Cricetulus griseus: one gene and its partners. The protein of the gene in region 2 interacts with the protein of the main gene of each other region in a biochemical or structural test. Links are inferred from orthologs where the notes say so. Each region holds a gene or a part of one and is shown on either strand. Other genes may lie near its edges.

Region 1 (7,603 bases), on a different chromosome or scaffold from region 2:
AACCACTGGAATGGGACCAGAAAAAGAACAGTTGCTGTGGCTACTGAAACATAGTATATCTTGTATCTGACAAGAAACTACACTTGTGTGGGAATTACAATCAACCTGCATTACAAAAGACCATTGGACTTAAACAATGGATCCCTTATATATATATATATATTTAAAGTCCAGGCCTTCATTAAGTCTTTGGAAGACTGAAGGCAGACCCAGGGTCACAGAAACGGACCATATAAGCAGAACCAGGCCCTATTTGCAGGAGTGGATGGAGAGGAATCCTGAAAACACTCAGGGGCTAGCATCTACCCTGACCTCAGTTCCATTCCTTCCCAAGTGGAGCAAAGCCTCTGTCTCTGTCCCATCATATATGCTGAATGGGATCCAGGGGTGGGGCGTGGGGGTGGGGCAGGGTAACTAGCTCTCTATACACTGTCTCTCAAAGCCTGGATGTGAACTTATGCTGTAACTGAAGGGGAATTGGGGTTGATTCCCTTGAAGAAGGAAAGAAGGCAGGAAGGACCCCTTTCAGACCCTCAGTCTCAGGTATGGCCCTGTGACTGACTTTGGCCAGTGGCATATGAGAAAGAAAGGTGCCACTTCCAGGTGGATACACTGAGAGCCAGTCAGAGCTTTGCTGAGTTCCCACTTCAGTCACAACCAGTGAGAAGCAGGACAGTGGACAGAGTTCCCTGCTCAGTCACAATGGGCAAGCAGTGGGAGGGAGCAAGAAACAATAACACACTGACTGAGCCTCTGGGATGATGGGTTTAGGGTAGCATAGCCCAGCCCTTCCCAACTGAGCTTCCAGTGAGATGAGACTAGAGAGCATTGGCTGAAAAACCCCTTCTCCCAGGCAAAGAGGAAGTTCACTGCGGCTGGCAAGCAGAGGCATTGACAAGAGTACATCCTTTTCGCCTTGAATGAAATGTACTATTTCTTAACCTAAGTAGAAAATTAGCCTCCTAAGCAACAGGAGGCAGACTAAGCCTGGGAGTTTCTAAATACAGAAACAAGAGAGCAACTTCTATGGCATCAGCACCACTTCCCAAGCAGATAACCAAGGCTGTGAGGGAAAGTTTGCCAGAGTGGAGAAAATACAAAGGAATGTAACACAGATTTAAGGTCACTTTCCAGCCGTCCGTGTAGCCCAAACAAGATACATGTACTTTCTGGAATTATTTCCTCCTGTGTAAAGTCGAGGTAAAAATGTATGCCTCTCAAGATGGTTGTGGGGAAAAAACAGCATACTTAAACTGCTTGGACTAACTGGTAGATAGTGGGTGTTTAATGGATAAAACTTATTTTTATTACTGTTGTCATAAATCATGGAGAATATGAGCTCCTTGACAAAAACGATTAGGGGAACTCGTTCTCTCTTTGGGAGAAGTAAATGGATCTGGACTTCACAGAAACCTTGCCCTACCCTGCCCCCACAAAGGTCAGTGCTTGGCTGGCAGCAACCAGTTAGTTACCCTCTGCAGCCTGAGTGAAAGCAAAGTGAGCACACGGAGTGAAAAAGAGCTGGCCAGTTTCCCACCGATACCAGCTGCTATTGGGTTCTGAATTCTCAAGGCAAAATATCTTAGGGCTCCAGGATACAAACCCTGGGCTGAGTTCTGAGGCAGCAAAATCCGAATTAGAACCTCCGGACTTAAGGTCCAACTCCAAACCTCAAGTCCTGGGCTGTAAGGAGGCTTGGGGAAGAGCTGGCTAACAGCCCTTTGCTACCTTGCTCACCAGTTCCTGCCAAATCACAGCCCTGTAGCCTGGTACGGCGGGAAGGCCCAGGGGGAATGCCGAGGCCGGCAGGGAAGGGGACAGTGAGTTGACCAGCTTCTAGTACCGGCATCAAGGAAGGTAATACTAACGCCTGGCAGCCCGGTACGGTGGACCTCATCCGCTCTACTTGCAGATGAGGCCAATAAAGCTCAGAGAAGTTCCGAGATTGCAGTTAGGCCATGAGAGAACCGAGCTTGCCACCTCTTTAGTCCTAAGTGGTGGAGAATGGAGGTCGGATAGCAGAACCCTAGGACAAAAACCACTTACATGTGTCTAGCGCTTCCTAGAGGCCACACAGGATATGAATCCACCAGCGGGCGGGGAGGGGAGACTTTAGCCTGCTTCTACCAGGGACTCCCGCTTAGGCAGCGTGACTTTCGGGCGAGTCGGCGGCGGCTCTCAAGACTTGTTTTCCCAGAAGCAAATCAGGAGCTGGGGGGTGGGGGGTAGGGCGGGCGCGGGTTGCGTATGCGCGAGACGCGCCCGGGCAAAGGCGATCGCTGGGGTTTCCTGAGTTTTGAACCCTTAAATGTTGATTTTGACCCCCATGGATGCTGGGGTCGCCCCTTTATTTCACGTCTAGAAAGCGCGTCCCTCTGAGGCAAAGCGAGCCCCTCCCCGCATGTCTCCAGAGGGTGAAGTGTTGTGCCGAGGACCCTGACGAGTCGGTTCTTAGTACCGCAAATCTCTAGCTTCCAGGTAGAGCACACAGCGGCACAGATCCTCCTCTGGAACTTAACCAAGAGATAAACTTCCACGCGTGCTCAACGTGGGAGGGACACTCAAGCCCGTTCAACTTCAACACACTTTCTCGCTCCCGCACCCGGGGCGCACACAACCATCTTCACCCGCGCCGCTGCCTCCCGGAAGTGTGGGGGTGCAGAGCCTGCTGGAGCTCAGGTCGCTCAGCCCCTTCACGTGTGTGCGTGTGTGTGCGTGTGTGTGTGTGCTTGTGTGTGCGTGCGTGCGCGCGCGCCACCTCCACTCCCCACCCAGGCCTTCCGCCCGGGGCCACTAGCGAGCCTCCCCAGCTTTCTGGATGCCGGTGTCTCGATCCCCGTCCCCAACCCTGAACTTGAGCCCGCCTCCGACAGACGCCGCAAGGGTCCAGCCGACCCGGCAGCCTCCGTCACTAGACAGCCAAACCAAGACGTCAGCCCACAATGCACCGGGCGGGCCGGGAAAGACGCGCCGGGGAGGGAACCCGGGAACACAAGCCTGAGCGCCGCGCGGGAGGGGGAGGGAGGAGGAGAAAGAAGGGCCCAACTGTAGGAGCGCAGCGGAGCATTACCTCATCCCGTGAGCCTTCGCGGGCCCAGAGAAGAATCTTCTGGGGTGAGGTCTCCATGGCGACAGGCGGGCCCGCCCCCCTGAGAGCGACGCAGGCCAATGGGAAGGCCTTGGGGTGACATCATGGGCTATTTTTAGGGGTTGACTGGTAGCAGATAAGTGTTGAGCTCAGGCTGGATAAGAAGGACTCAGAGTTGCACTGAGTGTGGCAGAGACGTCCTGGCAGGAACGCGCTCAGACAGAGAGGCAGAGAGAGAGAGCGGGACGGACGGAAGGAAGGACGGACGTTCTCGGCCAATCTGGACGGCCGCGGACTCCGGGCTGCTCATCTGTTTGTCTTCATTTTCTCACCGACTACCTGGACCCAGCGCCCGCGGCTCCAGCACCGGTGTTTTGGGGAGCACTTGGAGAGTCCCTTCTCCCGCCTTCCCCGGAGAAGCAGCTCGCAAGTCCCTGCGCTGCTGACAGCATCGAGAGCGGTGCCTGCCCGAGCGAGGAAATAGGCGAGCGGCTACGCCGACCACCAACTTTCCTGACCCAGAAGACCGGGAACAAGTGGCCCGGAGCGAACTTTTGCAAACCTTTTCAGCGCCTTAGGCTGCCCCCGAGACCGTAAAGAAAGGGGAGAAGAGGAAGAACCCACACTCAGCCCCGCTCGCACAGGCGGCTGAAGTTGGGCGAGCGCTAGCCGCGGCCGCCGAGCGTCCCCCTCCCCCTCACAGCGGAGGAGGGGACAGTTGTCGGAGTCCGGGCGGCGGAGCCCGATCGCGGGCTTCCACCGACAGTTCCGTGACGACTGGTCAGCGCCGCCGGAGAGCTGCTGTCGCTGGAGCTGGTCTGCGGTCTCCGAGGAACTGCTACTACCCGAGAGCGCTCCGCGAGTGACCGCGACTTTTCAAAGCCCGGCAGCGCGCGGGAGCCGACCAACGTGAGTGAAGGCGGTACCTTAACCCTGCGCTCCCTGGAGCGAGCTGGGGAGGAGGGCGCAGGGGGGGAGCACTGCCGACCGGAGCGCGCGCTCTTAGACAAACTTTACTTGTCACAGACGCAGGGACGCGCGGGTGTCCCCCGCTTCCCAGCGCGCTGTTGCGGCCCCGAAACTTCAGCGCGCAGCCCAGACGAACCCCGCGTGAACTGACCGACCGTTCTATGACTGCAAAGATGGAAACGACCTTCTACGACGATGCCCTCAACGCCTCGTTCCTCCAGTCCGAGAGCGGCGCCTACGGCTACAGTAACCCCAAGATCCTGAAACAGAGCATGACCTTGAACCTGGCCGACCCGGTGGGCAACCTGAAGCCGCATCTCCGCGCCAAGAACTCGGACCTCCTCACGTCGCCCGACGTTGGGTTGCTCAAGCTGGCGTCGCCCGAGCTGGAGCGCCTGATCATCCAGTCCAGCAATGGGCACATCACCACCACGCCGACCCCCACCCAGTTCTTGTGCCCCAAGAACGTGACCGACGAGCAGGAGGGTTTCGCCGAGGGCTTCGTGCGCGCCCTGGCCGAACTGCATAGCCAGAACACGCTGCCCAGCGTCACGTCGGCGGCACAGCCGGTCAGCGGTGCGGGCATGGTGGCTCCCGCGGTGGCTTCGGTAGCCGGCGCCAGCGGCGGCGGCGGCTACAGCGCCAGCCTACACAGCGAGCCTCCGGTCTACGCCAACCTCAGCAACTTCAACCCGGGTGCGCTGAGCAGCGGCGGCGGGGCGCCCTCCTACGGCGCGGCCGGGCTGGCCTTTCCGTCGCAGCCCCAGCAGCAGCAGCAGCCGCCTCAGCCGCCGCACCACTTGCCCCAACAGATCCCGGTGCAGCACCCGCGGCTGCAGGCCCTGAAGGAAGAGCCCCAGACCGTGCCCGAGATGCCGGGAGAGACCCCGCCCCTGTCCCCCATCGACATGGAGTCTCAGGAGCGGATCAAGGCGGAGAGGAAGCGCATGAGGAACCGCATCGCCGCCTCCAAGTGCCGGAAAAGGAAGCTGGAGAGGATCGCCCGGCTAGAGGAAAAAGTGAAAACCTTGAAAGCGCAAAACTCGGAGCTGGCGTCCACGGCCAACATGCTCAGGGAACAGGTGGCACAGCTTAAACAGAAAGTCATGAACCACGTTAACAGTGGGTGCCAACTCATGCTAACGCAGCAGTTGCAAACGTTTTGAGGACAGAGTGTCAGGGCTGAGGGGCAATGGAAGAAAAAAAATATAACAAAGACAGACTTGAGAACTTGACTGGTTGCGAAAGAAAAAAAAAAGTGCCCGAGTACCGAAGCCAAGGGTACACGAGATGGACTGGGTTGCGTCCTGACGGCGCCCCCAGTGTGCTGGAGTGGGAAGGACGTGGCGCGCCTTGCCTTGGCATGGAGCCAGAGAGCGGCGGCCTGTTGGCTGCTAGGCTTTGCGATCGGGCTGTGCCCGCGAGACCAGAACGATGGACTTTTCGTTAACATTGACCAAGAACTGCATGGACCTAACATTCGATCTCATTCAGTATTAAAGGGGGGCGGGGAGGGGTTACAAACTGCAATAGAGACTGTAGATTGCTTCTGTAGTGCTCCTTAAGAACACAAAGCAGGGAGGGCTAGGGAGGGGAGGGAGGCTCGTGAGTGCCAGGCTAGACTGCAGATGAACTCCCCTGGCCTGCCTTCCTCAACTGTGTATGTACATATATATTTTTTTTAATTTGATGAAAGCTGATTACTGTCAATAAACAGCTTCCTGCCTTTGTAAGTTATTCCATGTTTGTTTGTTTGGGTGTCCTGCCCAGTGTTGTTTGTAAATAAGAGATTTGAAGCATTCTGAGTTTACCATTTGTAATAAAGTATATAATTTTTTTATGTTTTGTTTCTGAAAATTTCCAGAAAGGATATTTAAGAAAATACAATAAACTATTGAAAAGTAGCCCCCAACCTCTTTGCTGCATTATCCATAGATAATAGTAGCTAGATGGAATAACAGCTGAATGTCAAATTCGCTAGAGTAAAAGCTGTGTTCTCTGTTTGATTGTAGGAATAGATGCCCTGCATGCTATCATAGGGTCATACTCTCTCCCGCAGCAACTCACAAGTCCAGACTGTTGACCAGAAGATGCTATGGTGTTTCTAGAGGCTGGAAAACAGGGATGTTGCAAAGGGAGAGAGAAAGCAGGCACTTCAGTTTAGAGCTATATCAAGTGGCATGTGCTGTGCTCGTTTATAATCATAGAGATTTAGCAATAGATGCTTCTTCTCAAAGCAGAAACCCATGCAAGTTTTTACAGAAGATGTCTCCTTCCAACTTGGAATCTGACAATTCCTAGAGAAAGATGGCCTTTGCTTGTGCATATTTATAACAGCGTTCTTGTCACAATAAATATTCAAATAATGGTTTCAAAAAATCTTGAATTCCTTTCCCTTTGGTACTCTTATTCCTAAACTATATACTGAAGGTTTTCTAAGTTTCTGGGGTTAACATTACTGTATTCTAAACTTAGTAATTTAGAAGCAAAGACTTTAGGAAGAGTCAAACTAAATTGAAGCCTGGGTGATCTTTTCTTCCAACCCTCCCTCCTTCCCTTTTCCCTTTTGCTCCCACTCCCACCCCTCATCTCTCCCCAGTACCAAGGAAGTGACCCATGAAGTGAGTCCATGTTTATTTCTTAGTTTGTTTCAAAATAATCTGTCTGGCTTAAATAATTATAGAGCCAGTCTAGGAAGATGCTATAATAAATGCTATGGGGGCAAATTCACAAGAGAAGTGTGGGCCCAACACTGATTACATCTGTAATGGGCCCAATGCATCCATAATCTAAACCTCAGCTCTGGGGAGACTGAAAACTTGGGTTGTGTCTACAGATACAATAGGTTATCAACAAGTTTGTATTTAACAAGGGAATAGTTTTTGCCTGGTTCCTTTTCTTCCTGTGAGCTGCTGAGATTATCAAGCAGCAAAAGCAATTTGATACCCAGAAACACTTCACCAACCACTAATTGAAGCCTGGCTGTTTGCTCATTAGCAGTGCTCCAGTATTCAACAGGTTCAGGAGTGCCTGTGGTGGTAAATCCAAATACAGTTTCTCAGGAGTACATCTAGGTCTGCAGGGGCTTGGACGGGCTCCATACTTTTTAAACAAAGACTTACTGGGAGCCAAGGCACTTTTGTCAAACAGTAAATTTGCTGGTGTCAGCAACCCGGAAGGTGAGTTGATTTTGACCATATTTAGGAATAGCAAAGGGACAATGAAGCACTTCAGGGTGGGGCTCTGGAAGTTAAACAAGTGCAAAGTAGAAAAGTATACAGGCTGGGAACTGATAGCCTACAGTGCTAGACTAGGCCCAGACAACAACAGCACAATGCAGAAATGCCACGCCACTCATCTGACTAAAAAGGAAAAAAAAAAAAAAAAAAAAAAAAAAAAAGAGTCCTCAAGGTTATCCACATTTGTCCCTTTCAACTAATATTTTGAATTACATTCTTAAAATTCTGACTATTCTAACCCAAAGAGGTAGAAAAAAAATAATGGCAATAGAAGAAATTCAACAATGATATCCAGTAAACTTTAAAC
Region 2 (6,942 bases):
CCACGGAGGCCAGAAGAGGATTTTTGGGTCCCTTGGAACCAGAGTTACAGTTGTGCGCCATCATGTGGGTGCTGGGAATCAACCCCAAATTCTCTGAAAGAGCAGCAAGCGCTCGTAACCACTGAGCCATCTCTCTGCTCACCCACAGTGTGTGTGTGTATGTATGTGTGTATGTGGGGTGTATGTGTATGTATGTATGTGGTGTGTGTGTATGTATGTGTGTGTGTATATGTGTGTGTGTATGTATGTATGCATGTGGAGGGGTGTGTATGTGTGTGTATGTATGTATGTATGTGAGTGTGTGTGTGTATGTGTGTATGTATGTGGGGGTATGTGTATGTATGTATGTATGTATGTATGTATGTATGTATGTATGTGAGTGTGTGTGTGTGTGTATGTGTGTATGTATGTGGGGTGTATGTGTGTATGTATGTATGTGAGTGTGTGTGTGTGTCTGCATGCATGTGGTTCTTATATTTACTAGGTCTGTGGCCAGATAGGAATGCCTCCTCCAGTGTTCTCAGTGTTCTCCCGTGAGTTTTGCTTCTCTAGATTTGGAGACCTCCATCTCAACCGTCAGTCAGTGTCTTCTGACCCAGCAGACTAGGGAAGGGTCAGGAGTGGCCTCCTGAAGCTGACGAGGTCTGACACTGGCCAGCCCACCATGCTGGACTGTGGTCTTCAGCAGAGTTGAGTAGCTACATGTGGCCATTGCTCAAAGGTCCACAGACTAAGTCGGGTCTGGGTGGATGTCCATGGAGGACCACACTCCCCAGACCTGGACAGGGCCCTGTTCTCTGAGAGCCCCAGCATTGACTCAGAACGAGGAACAGGAAGTCAGTGTGACTTGTTGGCTGAATCAACAGGTGGTTTGGTGCTCTACTCCCCACTGGTATCCAGCTGTGGGCTTACTAATACCATCTTAGTGCCAGTAATAGTCTGGAGTCTTCTCTAGGAGCTCACAGGCTTCACAGAAGGGTGTGCCTTGATGCACCTGGTAAGGACAGAGATGTTAGGAGTGCTGCTGTCCCTGCAGCTGTGATCCAGTGGTTGACAGATGCCATTTGGAGAATCAGTTTAAGATTAAAATTCTTATTTCAAACTCCAAATGCATTTTAAAGTGGGTTAGATTTTAATTTACTAGTTTCAAATGTAATTCTATTTTGATGAATAGAATTTTGACTTTAGATTTTGTTATTTATTCTCAAGAGTGTGCGCACACACGTGTGTGTTGGGAGTTCACACAAAAATCTAGGCCATGATGCTGGAGAAAAGGCTCGGGGGCTAAGCGCACTTGCTGCTCTTCCAGGAGACTGGGGGTCCCAGCACCCCATTCTAGCAGCTACACTGGTTCACAGCAGCCTGTAACTCCAGCTCCAGGGATCCAACACTCTCTTCTGGCCTCTGAGTGCATGTGCTAGATCCACACACAGACAAATAAACATACACATAAAAGTGACTAAAAACAAAAAACACCAAACCAAAAAACCCACAGCCTTGCTATTTTGGCCTCATGGTGGCTTAAGTGTGGCCTTTTGGGTTTTATAGGTGGCACCTGAGGAAGATGAAAGGAAAAGGAGACGGCGGGAAAGAAATAAGATTGCAGCTGCGAAGTGTCGAAACAAGAAGAAAGAGAAGACGGAGTGCCTACAGAAAGTGAGTGCTGGCCGAGCTTCCCCTACTCAGCGCCCACTCCTGACCTCATCAGCCTTGTGCCACTGGCAGAGGGGAGTTGTGGGTGGTGTAGAAATGCCAGCTGTAGGCAGAGGGAGGAGGGGACTCTGATATATAGAATAAAGATTTGTAGATTTAAAAACTTCAGTATTGCCAGGTGTTGGTGGCACACGCCTTTAGTCCCAGCACTCGGGAGGCAGAGGCAGGCCTGGTCTACAGAGTTCCAGGACAACCTCCAAAGCAATACAGAGAAACCCTGTCTCAAAAAACAAAAACAGCAAACAAACAAAAAAACCTTCATGTATCCAGGGGCTAGCAAGCTTGCCGTGCAAGCCTGGCAACCTGGGTTCGATGCCCAGAACCCACTGTGGGAGGAGAGGACGGATCTCCAAGAATTGTCCTCTGACCTCCACATGCATGATGTGGCACAAACTGGTCCATACACCGCCATGAGTTTCTAGGCTTTCAGGCTAAAAAGACTTTATTCACACCAGTTTTACAAATAAAACAACAAACCCCTGCTAACTGCCACTGACTCTCAAGAAAAGCTTTTATTCCTCTCCAGCTTGCTCTGTTAACCCGGAAGTACTTACACTGTGCTCCTGCCTGGGTTTGAACCCTGCGTCTCTTCTTCCTGCCTATCCAGCACTTTGAGAGCACGCTATCAGGCTGTCACCCCACAAAAACAAAACAAAACAAAACAAAACACACAGAGCCTGGAAGTCTTTGCAGGGGCCGTGTCTGCTCCCCCAAGTCTGTGCAGGCCAGCTTCTGGCAGAGACACAAGCTGGCCTCAGTAGTCCTGGGATCTCTGCTTGTTGCTTTAGGGTCAGTGAAAAACCTGAGAGTCTTGGTGAGATCAGAAATTCAGAGAAAACGCTACACCACCAGTTTGAAATTCTCCTCAGCTCCCCAGACCCTGTGGGGCTCAGATGCCCTTGGCAGTGGACTGGAGCAGCCTTCCCTGAGCCCTTGGTGCTACAGCAGCTTCAGTAAGCATGGCAGCCTGGCTCAGTGGTATCCCCAAACTTCTCACATGTCCCCTAATTTCAGAGACCTCTGCAGGGTCCACACCACCCCTGACCTAGTTCTGACCTCCTATCTTTTGTGGTGCATGGTTCCCCCAGCACACCTCTCCCAGCTCAATGAGCCCCAAGATTTCCAGGTGGTCTCGCATACCTCCCCAACCCTGGCTCCCCCCATAATGCCTCTATCTTTTGATTGTCCCTCAGGAGTCAGAGAAGCTAGAGAGTGTGAACGCTGAGCTGAAGGCCCAAATAGAGGAGTTGAAGAATGAGAAACAGCACTTGATATACATGCTCAACCTGCACCGACCCACGTGTATCGTGCGGGCTCAGAATGGGCGGACTCCGGAAGATGAGAGGAACCTCTTTATCCAGCAAATAAAAGAAGGAACATTGCAGAGCTAAGCGGCAGGGGCATGGGGGCAACTGGGGAGTCCTTATTGAATCCTCCTTTTCCACCCCAAACCCTGAAGCCGTTGGAAAGCTGGCTTCCTGTGCACTTCTAGCATCTCAGCAGCCGAGAGCCGTTGGGGCAGGGGGGCCTGCGGCGACCACTGCGTTGTCCCACTCTGCCCTGGAGTGAACTGTGGCGCAGGGCAAGAGCGTCCCTTGTCTCACTAACTCCAGGATTTAGGCCTTACCATCCTGACCATTCTCAGATGATCTAGCTGGTCCCCGGCTGGGGTCCCATGCAAAGCAGGACACCCACTAATGGGATTCACGCAGAAGTGTCCGCCTCGGTAGGTGGGGTGGGACCAGGGCCGCCACTGCAGCTGACACCATCCCTTCTAGGGAATACGGAGCAAGAACACTCGTTGTCGAGGTTGTCCAATGGCCAGGGTGTGCTTCTAGAAAATAAGCTGTTTCATCCCAGATGGCTGTGCACAGGGCATTCACTTCAGAACCAGGTGTTGTGTTGTGCTATTTGGATGTTTGTCTTGCACGACACTGTAATGATTTTTCTGGGAGTTTCATCAGAACTGATTTCTGAGAGTTTGGGAGTCTGCCATCATGGATAGTATCCCTTAAAAGCATTCGGGTGGACATGTGAGCTTGCCTGCCCCCCAGGAACGAAATGGGCCTGCTGGCCAGCTGTGTCGCTCTGTGCTGTCAGAGGACGCCTCCTTTCCCTGTACCCACTGCTGAGGAAGAACCTGGGCATGACAGCAGCTCCTTGGCTGCAAACCGTTGCAATCTCACAGAAAGAAGGCACAAAGGAAGTCCAGCTTCCAAAGGGTAGGACTCTCCTTCCCACTCAGTGACAGAGCAGGTGTGATTTCTAGGCTAGAAGGGCCAGAGATACTCCATTATCCCTTCGTCACAGCCAGAAACCACAGCCTGTGGAGAAGTGTGTTTGAAGTCGTGTGCAGGGCCAGGTGTCTGCGTTGTGGGATGTTAATGGCATTGTTTTTGTTATTGAGATATGGCCCAGAGCTTTTCAGTTGGGAGGCACCTCCCTCTGGCCACCAGGACTCTGGCTACTGTTAAAATTCTGACGTTTCTGTGAAATCCTCAGAGTGTTTAATCTTACTCAATAGTATCATTACAATTTTCTGTGAGAGAAAATATTACTTATTTATCCCAGTATTCCTAGACTGTCGACATAATAAATATCAAAATAAGACATGGTAAACGTACGTGTCATGCTGGTTTCTACTAAGTCTTCTGTTGAAATAATGACTCTGCCTCTCTGTTATGGGGTGATTAGCATGAGTATTTGGGGACAGATTTCCTTTGTTCACAGGAAGAACACTAGGTAGGGTGGTTGGGGTATGGGTATGTTTTATGTCTATGGGTGTTTTGTCTGCATGTGTGTCTGCGCTCCACATTCATGCAGTGCCTGAGGAGGCCAGGAGAGGGTGTTGCAGAGGGTTGTGAGCCGCCATGTAGGTGCTGGGAATAGAACCCAGATCCTTTCCAAGAACACTGAATGCTGTTAACTGCTGATCCGTCTCTCCACTTCAGTTTATTTTTAAGTGTGTGTATGCATGTATGCTGTGTGGGAGAGGTGTGTGCATTCGTGCATTTGCCTGTAGAGACCTAGCCCAGGTGGGTGACTTCTGACCCTTGCCTCAGTCTGCTGCTTGATGCTCAGTTTCTCCTCAACAAACCCTGAAACACTACATGTGCCCTTCACACCAACTGTTTGGCACTAATATGGTTTGTTGTTTTTTGAGAGCCTCACTATGTGGCCCAAGGTAGCCTGGAACTTACTATGCAGCCCTATGTGGCCTGGAAGAGCCTCCCTTCCTCTCCAGGTTCCTCTGCCTCTTGTGTTGTCCTGGGATCTGTCCCAACACCTGCTTCAGAGTAAAGGTTTGAAAGGTTCTGGCTCAGGACCTGACCTGAGTCATCCTTAAACATTCTGTGAAGAGGCAAGCTTTCCACACTGAGGGTTCGTTTGTCCTCCTGGGTGGTTGTGACTCTAAACTCCAGAAGCCTCTGGTCTCATAAAGCATTGCTCTTAGGGTCAAGCTAGGTGGTACCTGCCTGGTGGGTCTCTGGTCAAGGCTAGCATAGTCTACACAGTGAGGTCCAGGCCAGCCAGGGCTACATGGTGAGATCTTGTCTCGAAACTTTCGAAGAAATTCACCCTGAGCTGCAAAGCATGGGTGAACATGGATGATAATCACAGCTAGTATTCACTGACTAGGACAACGGGCTAGACGTTTCCTGCATCATGCCATGTGTTAGCTACCTGTCTGTCACTATAACAGAATTCCTGAGGAGAAACAAATGGAGAAACGTGGGCTGGTGAGATGGCTCAGTGAGTGAAGGCTCTTGCTGCCAAGTCTGATGACCTGAGTCCAGTCCCACACGATGGGGAGACTGAACTCCTACAAGTTATCCTCTGACCACATGTTACTATGGTGTGCACATGCCCCCAACCCACCCGCCCCAACCACACACACCACACACACACACACACACACACACACACACACACACACTGAATATAATAAAGCATTTTTTAAAGAGAAAAACAGCTTAGTGGTTCAAGTTCTTGCCACACGATTGTAAAGACCTGTGTTCAGAACCCACGTAAAAGCCAGGTGGACATGGTGGCTTGCTGGTAATTCTACATTGAAAAGACAGAGACGGGCCATCCCCAGAGCAGGCAGACTAGCCAGAGCAGCCGTGTCTCCAGATCTGGGTGCATCTGAGAAAACCAACCTTGGGCTGCCACACGTGCATTTACCACTCACACATGCACGAAACACTGAGAAAAAAAGTGCTTGGGTCCACGGTTTAGAAGTGTGAGTCCATGACTGATTCATCTTTTTCCTTGGGTCTGTGTGGATGCAGCAAACCCAGGTAGGAAGTGTATGGTGGACCAAAATCACCTCATGACCAGAAGGGTCTGTCATCTCCCTTAAGGCACATCGTCCATGGCACAGGACCTCCTATAGGGCCCCACCCCCCGACAGCTCAGGGACTCCTCGTGCCTTTAGCACAGGGGCTTTGGAGACATTCCCAGTCCTCAAAAGCACTGCTCTGCTCCACATGTGAGGAAGTAGGGAAAGCCAAAACTGCTCAAAGTCCCCCAATTTACCTAAGACTGAAGGCTACACTTTCTAAAACCACCAAGGTTTCAAGCAAGAGTTCTAAGGGTGTATGTGTTATGTATATAAATGGAAAAACACAAATCATAATATTCAGCATCCAAATGCGTTGAGTTCATGTGTAGCCACCACTGACTGACATCCATGGAGCAGTCACTCCCCAGGTCCCACCCTCAGCACTTGGCAAACTACTCAACTGTTCATTTCTTCAGGCTAGCCTGTCCTGTGGCCTTGTGTCAAGCTTCTTTCACGTAGCAAAGTACCAAGGTCCACCCATGCTGAGGTACGAATCAACATTCCATTCCTGTTCACGGCTGAGTTACAGTGTATTGTACGAGGATCTGTATTTTGCTCATCCATTTATCAGTTAATAGCCAGGTGTGTGTGCTTTCACAGAGCGGTAGATAACCTTTGCCCTTAAGGGATGAATGTCTGGAGTAAGGGTCCAAGTGACAACAGTTTGGAAATCCTGAGTCTGGCTAGCTAGGTAGGTGTGGCAATAGCCCGAGTCATGGTGACCGATGTAAACAGATTTCCAATGCTCTCCCCAACAGCAGGGCTGTTAGAATGTGTGTGTGGGGGGGGGTAGGGAGGGGCTTGGATGCTCTCTTGGAATTCAAGGACTTCTGTTTCCTACCCTTCACCCCTACACTGTGCATCTCACTGAGCATACTGTAGAG
Region 3 (7,727 bases), on a different chromosome or scaffold from region 2:
AACCAATCTCATGCCTGTTTTAAAACTCTGGATTTAAAATTTACTAGACTTGTGGGTCAGGTAGGGGCATGGGCTGTCAATCCTTGGAAGCCACATTGGCAGGTGATGGGTGTGGGTGGAAAACGAACTCCCACAAGGTGTTCTCTGACCTCCACATACACACCATTGCACACAGGCAGCATAGTAAATGAATGTAGGGATGGGAAACAGCTGAGTAACTACAAGTGCCTGCCGCCAACCAAGCCTAGCAATGGGGGCTTGAGTCCACCAGAGTCACCTAGTAGGAAAAAGAACTGACTCCCAGAAACAGTCCAGACCTTCACATGCACACCATGGCTAGCACCCCACAGCACAAAACAAATGTAATTAAAAACAACAACAACCCCCCCTCCCGCCCCCCAAAACTGGAACTGCCAGGCAGGGGTGTTTAATCCCAGCACTCGGGAGGCAGAGGCAGCAGGATCGCTGAGTTTGAGGTCAGCCTGGTCTACATAGTGAGGTCGTATAGCCAGGGCTACACAGGGAAAGGAAAACCAAACTAATAAAACACCCCTAAAATCAGTAAGTATAAATAAAATATTACATAGTAATCTTTCTACAACTTTGTCTCCACAAGAAACCTGTTTTATGTATATGCATATGCTCACATGAGTGCAGTGTCAGTGGGGCCAGAGGCACTCCGGGGTCTCCTGGAGCTGGGTGGAGTTCAGCAGTTGTGAGCCACCTCATGTGGATACTGGAAACCCAGTTCAGGTCCACTGGAAAAGCAAGTGTGCTTCACTCATGAGTTTTCTCTCTAGCCTCTACTTCCATTTTTGTTTTATCATTATTTGTTGTGCTAGGAATTGAACCACAGCCTTGTATATATGCTAATATACCACATTACCAGAACTGAAGAAAACACAAAATACATTGTGTGTGATCTTGGGGATCAATCAAACCTACTGCCTCATCCACAAATACTGAACTATACCACTAGTCCAGCCTAAACATACATTCTTTCTTCAAAGATGCATTTATTTTATTGTGTATTTGTATGTGTGAGTGCCTGCATGTATGTCTGTGCTGTGTGTATTCCTGGTACACAGGGAGGCCAGAAGAGGGGATGGGTTCCCTGGGAACTAGAGTCATAAATAGTTTTAAGCTGCCATGTGGGTGCTGGGAATTGAACCTGGGTCCTCTAAAAGAGTAGTCAGTACTCTTAACCACCGAGCCAACTCTCCAGCTTCCAAGAACATACATTTTATTGAGATAGGATCTTACTATAGATAGCTCAGGCTGGCCTTCAACTTTATGAACCTCCTGCCTCTGCCTCTCAAGTTCTTAGATTATAGGAATGAGCCATTATGCTTGGCTATGCATATATATTCTTACGGGATTATAGTAAAAGTATTCAACTCACTTGGGAACACTGCTGGTGAATTCCAGGAGCAATTACCAAGCCATTTGTGTTCCTTTCTCTTGTGTGGGAAGCTTGGGCAAAAGGTCCTTGGGGTTTGTCTAACCTTGGTGTGGACTGAATCGGAAAGACAAGCCAATTGCCACTGTTGAGGCTGGCTGTGAGAGCCAGCTTTCATTTGGGAAGTGCTCTAAAAATAATGTTATGGTGTCAGAGAAAGACACAGTCTGACAGCAAAAGCTTGTTGAAATCAAATTCTCTCTAACTACTGTCCCAGCAAAGTGACCCTAAGCAGCATTGGGAGTTAACTTTGAGAAGGGGTTGGTGAAGTTTACCTGCTTTCAGGTATGGTGATGTATGAAGATACTCTTCCTTCTGGAACACTGTGGAGAACAGAGATACATGTTTACTGTCTGAAGGGAAAGAAACAGGGTCTTTACCTCTAGCCTTTTATCCTTTGGTCCTTCTCTATTCCCCTCTCGCCCCTTCACAGAGTTTCTCTGTGTAACTCTGGCTATCCTAAAACTAGTTCTGTAGACCAGGCTGATTCTCTCTCTCTCTCTCTCTCTCTCTCTCTCTCTCTCTCTCTCTCTCTCTCTCTCTCACATACACACACACACACACACACACACACACACACACACACACACACACACACACGTGCGCCAATTCCAAGGACAGAGGCAAGCTTGATTTTATTTTTAGTTACTGACATTTGTCCTGATTACATAATAGCAACATCCTAGCCAACTAAGCTTTCTCTAAATTCCAGATAGACCTCAAATCTGCCAGAGTGAGGGCTGCACTACAGGGAAGAGAAAAATATGTGGGTGGCACTTGCTACATATACTCCAATATCATATTGGCCGCTTCTGGTCTAGACCTGTCCTGGGACCTCCAACTCTGTTGTCTACTTGCTATATCACCTTTTGAATGTCTATCAGGCATTTACAACAATCTCCTGCTGGCCTTTCCTTTCCTAGGTTGTATTATTCTAAGTGGCAACTCTACTTGCTTAAATCAAAAAAAAAAAAAAAAAAAAAAAAAAGGTATCCTTGCTTCCTCCTCTCACATCCCCACAACTCAGTATAAAGCAGCACAGGCAGCTTTAATACATTCTTTTTAAGTACCTAAAGCCTGAGTATTTTCTTTCTTTTTTTTTCAAGACAAGGTCCTAGAACTTGCTCTATAGACCAGGCTGGTCTTGAACTCACAGAGATCCACCTGCCTCTGCCTTCCAAGTGCTGGGATTAAAGGTGTGGGTTACTGCCATCCAGCAAGCCTAAGTATTTCTGTTCCCATTATTTCCAAATGGAAATCAATTTACCTCACTTCCCGAAGATTACTGTGGAAGACTCATTCAAGAAATCTCCCATTTCTTTTTTTCTAGACAGAGTCTCACGATGTAGCCATGGCAGTCCTGGAACTCATTATGTAGACCAAATTGGCCTCAAATACACACAGATTTTATTACCTCTGCTTCCTGAGTGCTGGGATTAAGGTGTATGTCACCATGCTCTATCAAGATCTACCATTTCTATTCCTGTCTTTTATTAGTTTAGTTTCATAGTTGGGGGTTGACCATAGGTCCTCTATAAGCTAGGCAAGCAGTCTACCATTGAGCTACATTCCCATCCTTTTATTTTTGTATTCATTTGAGTCAAGGTCTCACTATGTAGTCCTGGCTCCTGAACTCAGAGATTTGCCTGCCCCTGCCTGAGTGTTGGAATCAAATACATATGCCATGACACTGGGCCTTATTTCATTCCTCTACCCAGATCCCTCCAGTGGCTTCCTGTTTACCCCACCCTCTCTCATATTCACTCCCATCCAGCCACTGCCCTATTTTACCAGACATGCTTTATCTTAACCCTTCTGCTCCCACAGTTCCTTCTGGAAAGCTCGTTTACTCTATCTGCATGGCTCACAGGCTTGCCTTCTCTGGATCTTTCACTAAAAACCCCAGTGAGGCAATTCCTAACACCCACAATCCTGAGCACTCTTATTTGTCAGCTCTTGCTTTCTGCAGAAATACAGGCCCAGGCCGAATTGAGATCAGTTTTATCTTTTGCTCCTCATATACTCTGGGTTCTCAAATGCTTGGCACATAGTTGATGTTTATTAAGCATTTGTTAGGAATGAATAGGGAAAAAGCCACTCCCCCAATTTCCCCTACAGAGAATGGAGGGCTAAGCCCAGAGGCAGAGCCGGTGCTGCCTATCTCTGGGGACTGGAGATGCAATATTGCCCTGAGTGTTTCTCTGCAGGGCTGTCCTCTGGGGGAAACTCCCTCGGTTTTCCAGTGTGTGGGGCCTGGCTTTCATCAGCAGTGGAGCCCCAGGCCAGAGGGCGCAGAGATAAACAGTGGGCCGGCCTGACGCAATGGTTACAGAGATTAGTGAGGAGTGGACTGGGGAAAGAGACAGAACTCAATCCTAGGAGCAGCACAAGACCCTGGAGAGAGCCCAAATAATGTCCCACGGTTACAGATCCAGGCTGCTCTCTTGTACAGAAGCCTCCGGGGAAAAGGGGAAAACCCATCTGTGCTCCTCCCACCAGCACCCCGCTAGCAAAGGTCTGTCAGTCTTACGATTCTCTTGAACTTTAGGGTCAGCGACTAAGGTGGCCATGCTGGCCCCCGAGGAGCTTGGGAGAGCCGGGGATAACGAAGCTGTTGGATAAGAGGGGGAAAAGCCAGAGTCCTTTATATGGGGGTGTGTCCTGCTGCCCCGCCTTTCACCGGACAGGCCTAGGATGGCCCGCAGTTCGCCGTACAGAGGAGGAGGATGGATCTCCCGGGGACAACCAGAGTCCCTCTGCCTAACGGCACAGTCTAACTAGGCAGGGGAACGGTGATGCAATCGCCCGTAGGAAGAGGGGTCATGTGAGCGCCACTCCAGGGTCAGGGACTCCCGCCTCCATCCCTCCCTCCGACTACAGGGCCACTTTGGAAGGGGTGGGGCTACATCCTCCAGAGCAGTCGCCCCCAACTTTATGGACTAGCCATGCTGGCGAGAATGGGGAAAGAAGGGGTAGACGGCGTCGGTACTCGCCTCGCTCCTCAGGTCCCGGCTTTTATTTTGGCTCTGTCGCTGCCACCCGTTCATCTTCAACATGATATGACCGAAGTGTGAGACTCAGGCTACTGACCTCTGCAGCGCCGAGAGAAGATATTTTATGCGGGCCCGTCCCCTCTTTTGGGGGCGGGACCCAGGAGCCTGCCAATCAGAAAGCGGCACGCTGGCACTGACTCCGCCCCACCCCTCACATCCGCCACTCAGGAGCCCCCTCGGCCCCGCCTCCGCCCCGCCCTCTGGTTGGAGAGCTACGTTGTCTCGGACCCGGAAGTGGCTTTGGGTCACGAGGCTCCGCGGAGGAGGTGAGTGAGTCATGCACGCGCGCGCGCGCGCGCGCGCGCGGGCGGGCGAAGGAGAGTGCGGCGAGGGAGGGATGACGGGGGGCGGGGATGATGCAATGTTTGGCAACCGGTGTCTGCGCGCGCGCACGCGCAGGGGCCGCCGACGGTGGTGGGAGGCGCGGGTGGGGGGGTGAGAGGGAAGAGGGCGGAGCGCCAGCTCCCAGTATCCAACGGCCCCAACGGCTGTCCTTCCTGAACTTGTCTGCCCAGGAGCTGCGGCTCTGCCCACCCACCTCCCATCACCTCCAACTTGCTCCTCCATCCAGACTCCCAGCTTCCCGGCCCCTCCCAGCTCATGCGCGCCGAGGCCCTGGAACCGCGATAAAGTTTCCATTAGTCCTACCTGGACTGACATCTTCTCCAGCCCTTTAGAAGGGATCTCATCTCTTTTAACCTCCTAACGCTTCCCAGAGGCTGAGGTCCTGGCATTTCCATGGTAGTCCACCCGCTTGTCTCGGGGGAGCACCTTTGGCGTTTGTTTCTGAGTCGCCCACTGCACGCCAGAATTCCTGTTCTTTGTAGCGTGCACCCGAGTCCCACCCCCTACTTATCGCACCCCTGCTCGGCGCCCACCCTTTCTCTTCTCCCTGACCGCAAGTCCTGTGACTCCCTGCTGAGCAGCGGGCCTGTAGGAGTCTGGGGTCATGACCTACAGTAAGGACTGGGACGTGCATGCAGTTGAGCGTATGCCTGCCCTGGACTGCGTTACCGGAGGGAACACAGATTCTACCTTAATTTGTAAATGAAAGAACGAGATTTGGAAGGAAAGACCACTGTGAGGGGGGCAACTTGAACTAAAGTAAAAAACACCTTGCGAAACGTATTTTTTTGTGCCATGAAAACAGAGGCCATGTGGTGGCCTAGCACACACAGTCTGTCATGCACTCAAGAGAGGCAAGCCAGAGTTTCTCTGAGCAGAAACTGCACCAGGACCGGTTGCTATTGGAAGGTGCGACAGTGACAGGTCCTTGGCCAGCCAGACTGCTCCTTTGCTGCAGACCCTCGTCTCCCCTTCTGTTGGCCGGGGTGGGGGTGGGTTGAACCAGATGGTCTCTCCTGGCCTCGAGACGGACCAGGTTGTCAGTGACAGGCAGGGGTCATGTGACTTGACAGGCAGAGGTCGTGTTGTGACATGTTGACCTGGAGAGGCGGGTCAAGTCTCGGCACACTACCCGGGAAGCCTCTGGGGCGGGGCAGGGCAAGTCGCGACTTTCATCTTTTAGGGTTGGCCCCTCCCGGACCTGACATTCCTGGCTCCCCCAACAGATTGTGGCTTCGGAAGGGGCCCCTCCCCAGGGAGGACCGGGATTGGCCACCAGTGGCCTGGGAAGAGGCCCAGATCCTTCCGCGGAGGGCGGGGGGGGGGCGGCGGCCGCGTGGGGTGTTTGTTCTCTGGGGATTAATGGGGGGTTGTGGGGAGGGGTAGGCGCGCTCCCCGCATGCGCACTGCGTCCCTCCTGTTGGCTCGCTGCTGTCCGCTGGGCGGGGGCCCGGCCCCGCCCCTCCCGTCCGGCAGCGGCGGCAGCGGCGGTGCGGCGGGTGGGGGGCGGCGACGACGGGCGGCGGCGGCGGCGGGCGGTAGCAGCCTGCGCGTGCCTTCTGGGGAACGGAATCCCCAGGGCTGCCCCTGGCCCTATGGCGCATGCGCGGGAGGCCGCTCGGTGATCCGCGGCGGCGGCGCGCGGCGGCGGCGGCGCGGCTTCTGCTAAGACCGGCCGGGGCCGTACCGGAGCTCGGGGCTCCCGACCCTCCACCCCCCCCACTCACCCTCGGCCGCGACTGCGCGGGGGGCAGCCGAACGATGGGCGCGGTGAGTGCGGGGCCCGGCCCCCCCCTCCCCTCCCGCTCTCTCCTCCCTTCTGTCCCTACCCTCTGCCCCCTCCGCGTCCGCCCGTCCTCCCGGCCCCTTCCCTCGGCCCCATCCACGGCCCCCCACCCTCACCTGCCCCCGCCGTTTCTCCCTCTCGGTGCCTGACTTGTGCCTTCCTGACCTCCCTCCCTCCGGTGCTTCGCCCACCCTCCACCCGCCCTCTCCCCAAGTTCCTTCCTACTTCGTGCGCCTGCCTTCCCCTCCTCCCCAAGCTGAAGGAAGCAGTCTGGGTGACAGGGCGCCTTGTTATGAGAGGGAAAGTTTGGAAGCCGTCAGTGTGCGATGGGAGCGATGGTGAGGTTGGTGAGGACGCTTGCAGGTCTGAGGGTCGTCCCTGCGTGTCAGAGAATACTTCTTGTTGCTCATTGGAAGCCAGAGGTTGATTATGGATCCCCTTTTCTTCGGCTTGAGGGAGGACCAGGAGCTTCTCGGGATCCTGGAGGAAGGCAGGGCTTTGGTTCCAGCCTCTCTAGAGCTCCAAATGAATTAGATCTGAGATTGTCTGACGGAGTGGTCACGGAAGGAGGGGGGTGTCCGCTGGTACCACCCTGCCAGGCAGTTGGGCAATTGTTTGGTGACCTGTGGGGCAATCTGTACTTTTTATATGATCTTCCTGGGGGAGGGGACAGCAGTGGCCAGACACTGGGAAACTTCCTAGTGGCCTGGCATTATGGGAATTAGCCCACACTACTGTTGAAGTCTTCTGTCCCCTAGACAAAGGGAACTAGTCCTTCATATGTCAAGAAATTAGGGTATGATTTGGTGGTCCTTGGGAGTTGAGGCGCTGAACTCCTTTAGTCCCTAGGGAACTGAGCTTGGAGAGGACATTTGTGGACATGGCCAGCAGACCCCTGAGGTCCTTACAGGCACACGTCATGTTATTTATGGACCTTTCTTGCGTGTTCTGGGCTGTGGTGCTTTCTTGAGTTAGGTGGATTCTTGAGAGGCCCTTCTCTTTCCTTGTGTTGCAGGTGTGGGCTAAGCTGGTGGCCCCGGCTTTAGACTGGATCCCACAATGTTTGCAGAGATGTTCAGGTAGC
Region 4 (7,234 bases), on a different chromosome or scaffold from region 2:
ACTATTCTTCAGTCTCCACTAGCCACAAAACGCTCTCCGAGGTTGGTAAGAAAACAGGATCACAGAAAGGCCCCCAACCAGCCGGGCGGTGGTGGCGCTCGCCTTTAATCCCAGCACTCAGGAGGCAGAGGCAGGCGGGTCTCTGTGAGTTTGAGGCCAGCCTGGTCTCCAGAGTGAGTTCCAGGACAGGCTCCAAAGCCACAGAGAAACCCTGTCTCGGAAAAACAAAACAAAAGAGAGAGCGAGAGAGAGGGAGGGAGAGGAGAGAGAGAGGAGGAAGAGAGGAGAGAGGGGGGGAGAGGGGAGAGAGAGAGGGAGAAAGAGAAAAGGTCCCCAAGCAGCTCAAGCCTGCGCTGCCTCCAGAGGGGCCAGCCCATCCCCCACCTGCCGAGGCCAAGGCCCAAGGTCAGGGCGGAGCCTCCCGTCCCCAGCTCCGCACCGGCCCCGGGGAGAGGCGGGACTGGCGCTCCGGGCCGCTGGCTGCTAGCCAGCGCTGGCTGGCTCAGCCCTCTCGGGGGCCCAGGCTGGGATCTGGCCCGCGAAGCGCAAACCCCACGTGTGAGGAAAAGGAGTCCTGTGCCGGGAGGAGTCCACCATTCGTTCAGGATGAATCTTTAGCTCCAAAAGGGAATGAAACCTGGGTGTGGGGCTCCCTGAGGCCACAACTGTGAAAGTCTAGGGCGTGGGGGTGGCACCAGATGGAGGCAATGGCCCTGAGGCGCGAAGGAGCTGGGCCCTGCCACCTGGTGCTTCCAGTGGGTGACAGGTCAGACGGGGGTCATGGTGAGGGGTGGCAGGCTGAGGGGAGCTGCTGTCTGCTCCCCACTCCCAGCCAGCCCGGCCCATCAGTCCTGGAGGGCATAATGTACTAATTAAGGGGGATAATTGCCAGCCTGGATTTTTGTTTCTCCAGCTCCACCTTGGGACCCACCCCTGGCCCTGGCAGAGTCAGAGCTAAGAGTGTGTAGCACCACCGCTGTCCAGAGGCTCCATTCGGGAGTACTCGGGCTGAGCCAGGCTTTGTGGGGCATACCCGTTCCCACTCAGAGTAGAGGCAGGAGATCCTGGCTCAAAACAAACTCAAAAAACACAAATACCCCCAAACTTTCATGACACGGTAAGGTGGCCGGCCGGGTTGTCACTCTAGTACTTGATAAACCGAGGAAGAGGGATGGCCACTAGTTCGAGGCCAGCCTGGGTTACACCCCAGCCCTTGCCAGGCCCCTGTCTCTGTAAATTTCATGCCAGACAGAGCTGTAAAGTGAGACCATCTCTCAAAACACAAAACAGCAAATTCAAGACCAAGCACTCATGCTGGGATGAGGTGACTGGGCCTGTCATTCCAGCAGCTACTGAGCAGAGGCAGAGGCTTGCCTTGAGTTCTGGGTCAGCTAAGGTACAGACAGTCAAAATAAGACACATATCTGAAACACAGCCCATCATCATCCAGGACCCAGGAGGCTAAGGTAGGATTGTTGGATGTTCAAGGAGATAAGTCTGGCCTACAGAGTGAGATCCTGTCTCAAAACATCCCAAAACAGGCCATGGGTGTGGCTCAGTGGGCAAAGGAACCTTCCCAGAACCCTGAGCAGGACCCCAAGAATCACAGGGAGGAAGAGAATCTACTCCCACAAGCTGTCCTCTGGCCTCCACAGGTGGGCGAGCAGGCGCGCGCGCGCACACACACACACACACACACACACACACACACACACACACACACACACACACAAGAGTAAAACTTCAGGCAGAGGTAAGGTGGCTCAGACTTGTTATTAAAACACTTGGGAAGGTGAGGCACGGAGACTGAGGTTACAGGATGAAACCATGTCTTAAAACAACTCAAAATAAAGATTTAGCCGGGCGGTGGTGGCGCATGCCTTTAAACCCAGCACTCGGGAGGCAGAGGCAGGCGGGTCTCTGTGAGTTCGAGGCCAGCCTGGTCTACAGAGCGAGTGCCAGGGCAGCCTCCAAAACCACAGAGAAACCCTGTCTCAAAAAAAACAAAAAACAAAAAACAACTCAAAAGATTTAAACAAGGTTTTTTTTTTTCCCACGGAGATTAAAAAAAAGCCACAAAACCTGGCGACTGCCTAGAGCCCTGGCCACATAGCCCACCCTCAGCTTCCCCTCTGAAAGACAGGAAGTCAGGTTTCAGGCCTCTGAACCCCACTCTGTGAACCGACAGGACTCAAGGCACTTTAAGCAATTTCTGGGGACTCTGCAAGGGAGCCCCTCTGCCTCCCCCATCCCGCCCCGCGCCTGCCAGCCCCAGCCCCAGCCCGGGAAAAGACGCCCAGGTTGCTGCCCAGCCCCCTCCATGAGGGCGTGGTTCCTTTGGGGTGTGCTGTGGGCGTGTCTGCACAGAGGGCGTGGTTTCCTGGGGCCCGGCCCATCACGCCACAGGAGAAGGGGAGAGACACTGAGAGGAGAGCTATAAAGACACAGGCAGAGAGAGAAGGGGAGAGAGGAAGGGCATGACTGGGAAGAAGAGGGAGACAGATGGAGGGAGGGAGAGAGGAGAAACGCGCGGAACGGGGAAGGAGGGAGGGAGGGAGGGAGGACAGAGAGAGCGCTGCACTCCAAGCTGGGCGTGGCGACCCGGCCAGGCCGCGTTCAGCCCCACCTCCATGACGTCAACCCACAATGCTGCGCGCTGTTGTGCCTTGTAGCGAGCGTCGCCCCTGGCAACAGCGGCCGAGGCAGCCAGGGAGCGAGGGCGTCCCGGCCCGCCCCTTTATGCAAATCTACGACGTCACCTCGGGCCAATGGCGATCGGGGGCGGTGAGCTCATCGTGGGGGCCGAGGCTATAAGGGTGCGCGCGAGCGTCGCGGGGCAGAGTGGCCGGCAGCGTAGCCGGGCAGCACGGGCAGCGGACTGGGGGGCGCACGGGGCCCCCCGGGGAGGCCGCGGCCACTCCCCCCGCCCCGGGGCCCAGCGCGGCGGGGGAGGCGGGGATGGAAACGCCCTTCTACGGCGAGGAGGCGCTGAGCGGCCTGTCTGCGGGTGCGTCGAACGTCGCCGGTACTGCTGGGGCCCCCGGCGGTGGTGGCTTCGCGCCCCCGGGCCGCGCGTTCCCCGGGGCGCCCCCGACGAGCAGCATGCTGAAGAAAGACGCGCTGACGCTCAGCCTGGCGGAGCAGGGAGCGGCAGGATTGAAGCCCGGGTCGGCCACTGCACCTTCCGCGCTGCGCCCCGACGGCGCTCCCGACGGACTGCTGGCGTCGCCGGACCTTGGGCTGCTAAAGCTCGCGTCGCCAGAGCTCGAGAGGCTGATCATCCAATCCAACGGGCTGGTAACCACCACTCCGACCAGCACGCAGTTCCTCTACCCTAAGGTGGCGGCCAGCGAGGAGCAGGAGTTCGCCGAGGGCTTCGTCAAGGCGCTGGAGGACCTACACAAGCAGAGCCAGCTGGGCGCGGCCACCGCGGCCACATCTGGGGCCCCCGCGCCCCCCGCGCCCGGGGACCTGGCAGCCACTCCCGGAGCCAGCGAGACCCCCGTCTACGCCAACCTGAGCAGCTTCGCGGGTGGCGCCGGGCCCCCTGGGGGCGCGGCCACCGTGGCCTTCACCGCGGAGCCAGTGCCCTTCCCGCCGCCCCCGGGCGCGCTCGGGCCGCCGCCACCTCCGCATCCACCGCGCCTGGCCGCGCTCAAGGACGAGCCGCAGACCGTGCCGGACGTCCCGAGCTTCGGCGACAGCCCTCCGCTGTCGCCCATCGACATGGACACGCAGGAACGCATCAAGGCGGAGCGCAAGAGGCTGCGCAACCGCATCGCCGCCTCCAAGTGCCGCAAGCGCAAGCTGGAGCGTATCTCGCGCCTGGAGGAGAAAGTCAAGACCCTCAAAAGCCAAAACACCGAGCTGGCATCCACCGCCAGCCTGCTGCGCGAGCAGGTGGCGCAGCTCAAACAGAAAGTCCTCAGCCACGTCAACAGCGGCTGCCAGCTGCTGCCCCAGCACCAGGTCCCCGCGTACTGAGCCTGACTTCGGGGCGCATGCGCGGACTCGCTGCGGTGGTGGGCGCCCCGGACTCCTCCGAGGCTCGGCGCCCCCGGACTCGACAAGCTGGACCCCCCCCTTCACTCCGGGTGGGGACCCCGAGCGCACGGCCCCCGCCCTCGCGCCACCTCTGTTTCCCCAGCCCCGCGCGTGTTGCACAAGCCCGCGGCCCGGCAGCCCCTTTGTGCCGCCGAGAAGGGGCTCCTAGGGGCGCGCAGCCTCACGCTCTGCCTTTTTCTTTTTCCTTTTTGCCTTTTGGAAGAGAGAACGGGAGTGTCCGATTCCGCCCTATTTATGTTTCTACTCGGGAACAAACGTTGGTTGCGTGTTGCGTGTGTGTTTCCTTGTGTTGGTTTTTTAGAGAAACGGGAAGAAGAAAAAGCTCCTCCCCCTTCCCCTCCGCTCTCCCTCCCTCTCGACACTATCCCTCTCTTCTTGTTTGGTTTTGTTTTGCTACGAGTCCACATTCCTGGTTCCGTAATCCTTGGTTCGCCCGTTTTGTGTTTTCAGTAAAGTCTTCGTTACGCCAGCTTGGCTGTCCGCCTCCTTCTTCCCCCGCCGGGGCCGGTGGTGGGCGGGGCCTGGCCTTCTCCCATCCCCCCCCTCCTCCAGCCCCTCTCCACCCACCCCCACTCCCAGGCGAGGCGTGGGCGCCGGCCGGGACTGCACGTCTGCGCGGCGAGCGCCACCTAGGTGCAGGCTGTCGGCTCTGGTCCAGGTGGCACCCGGACTGGGCTTCTGGGCTAGCCTATGTAACTTAGCTGGTACATCCTTTTGGGAAGAGGGTGAAGAAATGGAAAAGAGGGAGGAAGGAGCGCATGCCTTCTTGGGGTCTTGGTTCTCCCGATCTTCAGCCTCCATCGGGGTGTCTGGGAGGCTGGTGACATCCTTACAGAGAGTTGCTGCTTGCAGTCGGCCCTCAGTAGGAGCTTTTGTCTTTGTTGGTTTCACGGGTACCTCAGGCCCAGAGCATTTGGTCCAAGACCAGCAGCCTAGAGTCATGGAGGTGCATTTAAACATCCCCCTCCTGACACGCCCCTTCTCCCAGCGCATGTTCTCCCATTTGAGGAAACTTCAGCGATGTTGAGCACTTGGCTTGAGTCACACGGCACCTTTTTTTTTTGAGACAGTCATTCTATATAGTCTTGGCTGTCCTGGCATTTGATATATAGACCAAACAGGCCTGGAACTGACGAGAGATTCTCCTGCCTCTGCCTCCTGAATGCCAGCATTCCCTGTGAATCTTTATTTGCAAAGCTGGAGATGAAGCACCTCGGACCTAGGGCACATTAGGCACTGTCTTCTCCAACTCAGTCCCAGCCTCTGTCTTGGAGAGGGGCACTGCCTATCAGGGACATTGACCCTGGGGCTCCAACTGCCCAGGTGTGCACTTTCCTGTCAGGCTGTTGAGACCCTGTGTCTTAGGTTCTGATCCCCTCGGTATCAGCATGGGTGCTAAAGTTACATGGTAAGATCTGGGGTGGGGGGTCTGTGTCTGAAGGCTGCTCTTCAAGCCACTGTGTACCTGCCCCCTTGGCTACAGAAGAGAAGGGCTTTCCTGCTCTTCTCCCTGCTCCAAGCCTCCTGTCAATCCTGAGCAGAACTGTTTTGTAAGACCAGCTTGGTGATGCTGGCCTGTCATCCAGCATTCTCCAGGATGAGGCAGGGAGCTCTTCAGTCCTGTATAGCTTGGGCTGTAGAATGAGACCCTGTCTAGAAAAACAAAGGCCAGTGATAAGCAGCCTGATCTGAGAGTTCCTGAGTGTTTATGTAGTGGGGGATGGAACCCAGGGCTTTGTCCATCCTGAGCTCCAGACACTGAGTGCCAGCTTGGGTAGCATAGCATAGCATAGCTTTGTAATAGTCACACACTCTTGCTTTATGGACCTCTATCTTGTATGCTGTGAAATGGGAGTGTCCTGGTCTAGGTTCTGCCTTCCCCATCCCTTTCAGAATTGACCGAGATTAGTGTGCCCCCTATCTCACACACAGCATACACAACACAGTAAGAATCTGAGCTCTCCCTTGGCCTTTGGAGTGCTGGCATGCATCATGCCCAAGTTGGCTCTGTTTCCCTGCTTTTGTAGTGCTGGATGGAGTTTCAGTCTTTACAAAGATTTGTCCTGTTGTTTGAGACAAGGTATCACTCTATAGATAAGGCTGGGCTGGAACTCATGACCCTGCCTCTGCCTCCTGAGTACTGGGATTAAAGGTGTGACCCACCACCGAAGCAGATGCAGTTTGTTGATATTGGGAGTATCTTTCCTGGTCAGCTAATCTGATGCAGGCTAAAGAGGAACATGACTCCCAGGACAGCCAGGGCTACACAGGGAAGCCCTATCTCAACACACTGAGGCCTGGGTACCTGGGCTCAGGGTTCTGTTCCCCAGCACTGAGGCTGGTTCTACAATTCAAGTACATAGCTCTCTCTGAGCCTCAGTTTCCCCATCTGTCCCACAGGCTAAGGCTGTCATGCCCAGGCTTCCAAGGAGACATAATGGGCTCACCAGAAACAATAGAACAGAATAGTTAACAGTCAGAGGGAGGCAGGGTAAGCCACAGGGTCTGCTCCTTGCATAGAGGCTGAACAGCTCTGTAGTCCTTGCTCTGACAGCCCCTTGGCAAAGCTAAGTGGTTCTGGCTTAGGCCTGCTGTGCACAGGCCAAGGTGTGTGTCAGCCTTGGCCTGTGCAGCTGTGACTCACATTGGGTGCTAGCCCAGACTGGGGCGGTGGCCCAGAGTCTTGACCTCACTCCACTTACCCCCTCCCAGAGCCATGGCTCACAGTCCATGCCCACTTTTGGGGGGTTATGTTTGGTTTTTGTTTTTTTGTTTGTTTGTTTCTACACAGGGTCTCCCTATGTAGCCCAAGGCTGGTCTGGAACTATGTTTGTAGACTGCTGTCCTGAAAGTCACTGGCATCCTCCCGGGTGCTGGGTGGCTGCTTCCCATGTGTCTTTTTATCCCCCACACCCACAGAGATGTCTTTAGAATACCTTGTGGGCCCAGCAGATGGAGGGGGGCTCTTCCAAGAGAGGCTGGGGGTCACCTCTATGCTGAGCCCTAAGTTTTGGCATAGGTTGTAGACATCAGGAGAGCTCAGAGCCTCCCGTGCTGTCAGGGGTTTCTATGTTCTAGAACCTTCCCCACACTCTGCTGGGGATTGGTTGGAACTCAGGCATGAGTCATAAAGACATTTGGGTACCAGGGTCCCAATGCCGGCCAGAGG

Evidence for each region.
Region 1: the proteins of Atf3 (region 2) and transcription factor AP-1 form a complex in vitro, tested with the Homo sapiens proteins (2 studies listed by BioGRID and IntAct, with this or other methods). The link is inferred for Cricetulus griseus from reciprocal best matches to the Homo sapiens genes ATF3 and JUN.
Region 3: the proteins of Atf3 (region 2) and Ddit3 form a complex in vitro, tested with the Homo sapiens proteins (2 studies listed by BioGRID and IntAct, with this or other methods). The link is inferred for Cricetulus griseus from reciprocal best matches to the Homo sapiens genes ATF3 and DDIT3.
Region 4: the proteins of Atf3 (region 2) and transcription factor jun-D form a complex in vitro, tested with the Homo sapiens proteins (2 studies listed by BioGRID and IntAct, with this or other methods). The link is inferred for Cricetulus griseus from reciprocal best matches to the Homo sapiens genes ATF3 and JUND.

The regions. Positions count from the first base shown.
Region 1 is NC_048595.1:53,809,288-53,816,890, forward strand, and holds transcription factor AP-1, read left to right. Parts: upstream 1-3,128; 5' UTR 3,129-3,997; intron 3,998-4,114; 5' UTR 4,115-4,218; coding exon 4,219-5,223; 3' UTR 5,224-5,961; downstream 5,962-7,603. UniProt on the Homo sapiens protein: Transcription factor that recognizes and binds to the AP-1 consensus motif 5'-TGA[GC]TCA-3'.
Region 2 is NC_048598.1:3,858,553-3,865,494, forward strand, and holds the end of Atf3 (cyclic AMP-dependent transcription factor ATF-3), read left to right. Parts: intron 1-1,548; coding exon 1,549-1,656; intron 1,657-2,906; coding exon 2,907-3,104; 3' UTR 3,105-4,332; downstream 4,333-6,942.
Region 3 is NW_023276806.1:130,432,736-130,440,462, forward strand, and holds the start of Ddit3 (DNA damage-inducible transcript 3 protein), read right to left. Parts: upstream 4,245-7,727; 5' UTR 4,030-4,244; coding exon 3,990-4,029; intron 1,783-3,989; coding exon 1,735-1,782; intron 759-1,734; exon of another isoform or gene 648-758; intron 1-647. UniProt on the Homo sapiens protein: Multifunctional transcription factor in endoplasmic reticulum (ER) stress response. Plays an essential role in the response to a wide variety of cell stresses and induces cell cycle arrest and apoptosis in response to ER stress.
Region 4 is NW_023276806.1:248,303,799-248,311,032, reverse strand, and holds transcription factor jun-D, read left to right. Parts: upstream 1-2,627; 5' UTR 2,628-2,958; coding exon 2,959-3,984; 3' UTR 3,985-4,534; downstream 4,535-7,234. UniProt on the Homo sapiens protein: Transcription factor binding AP-1 sites.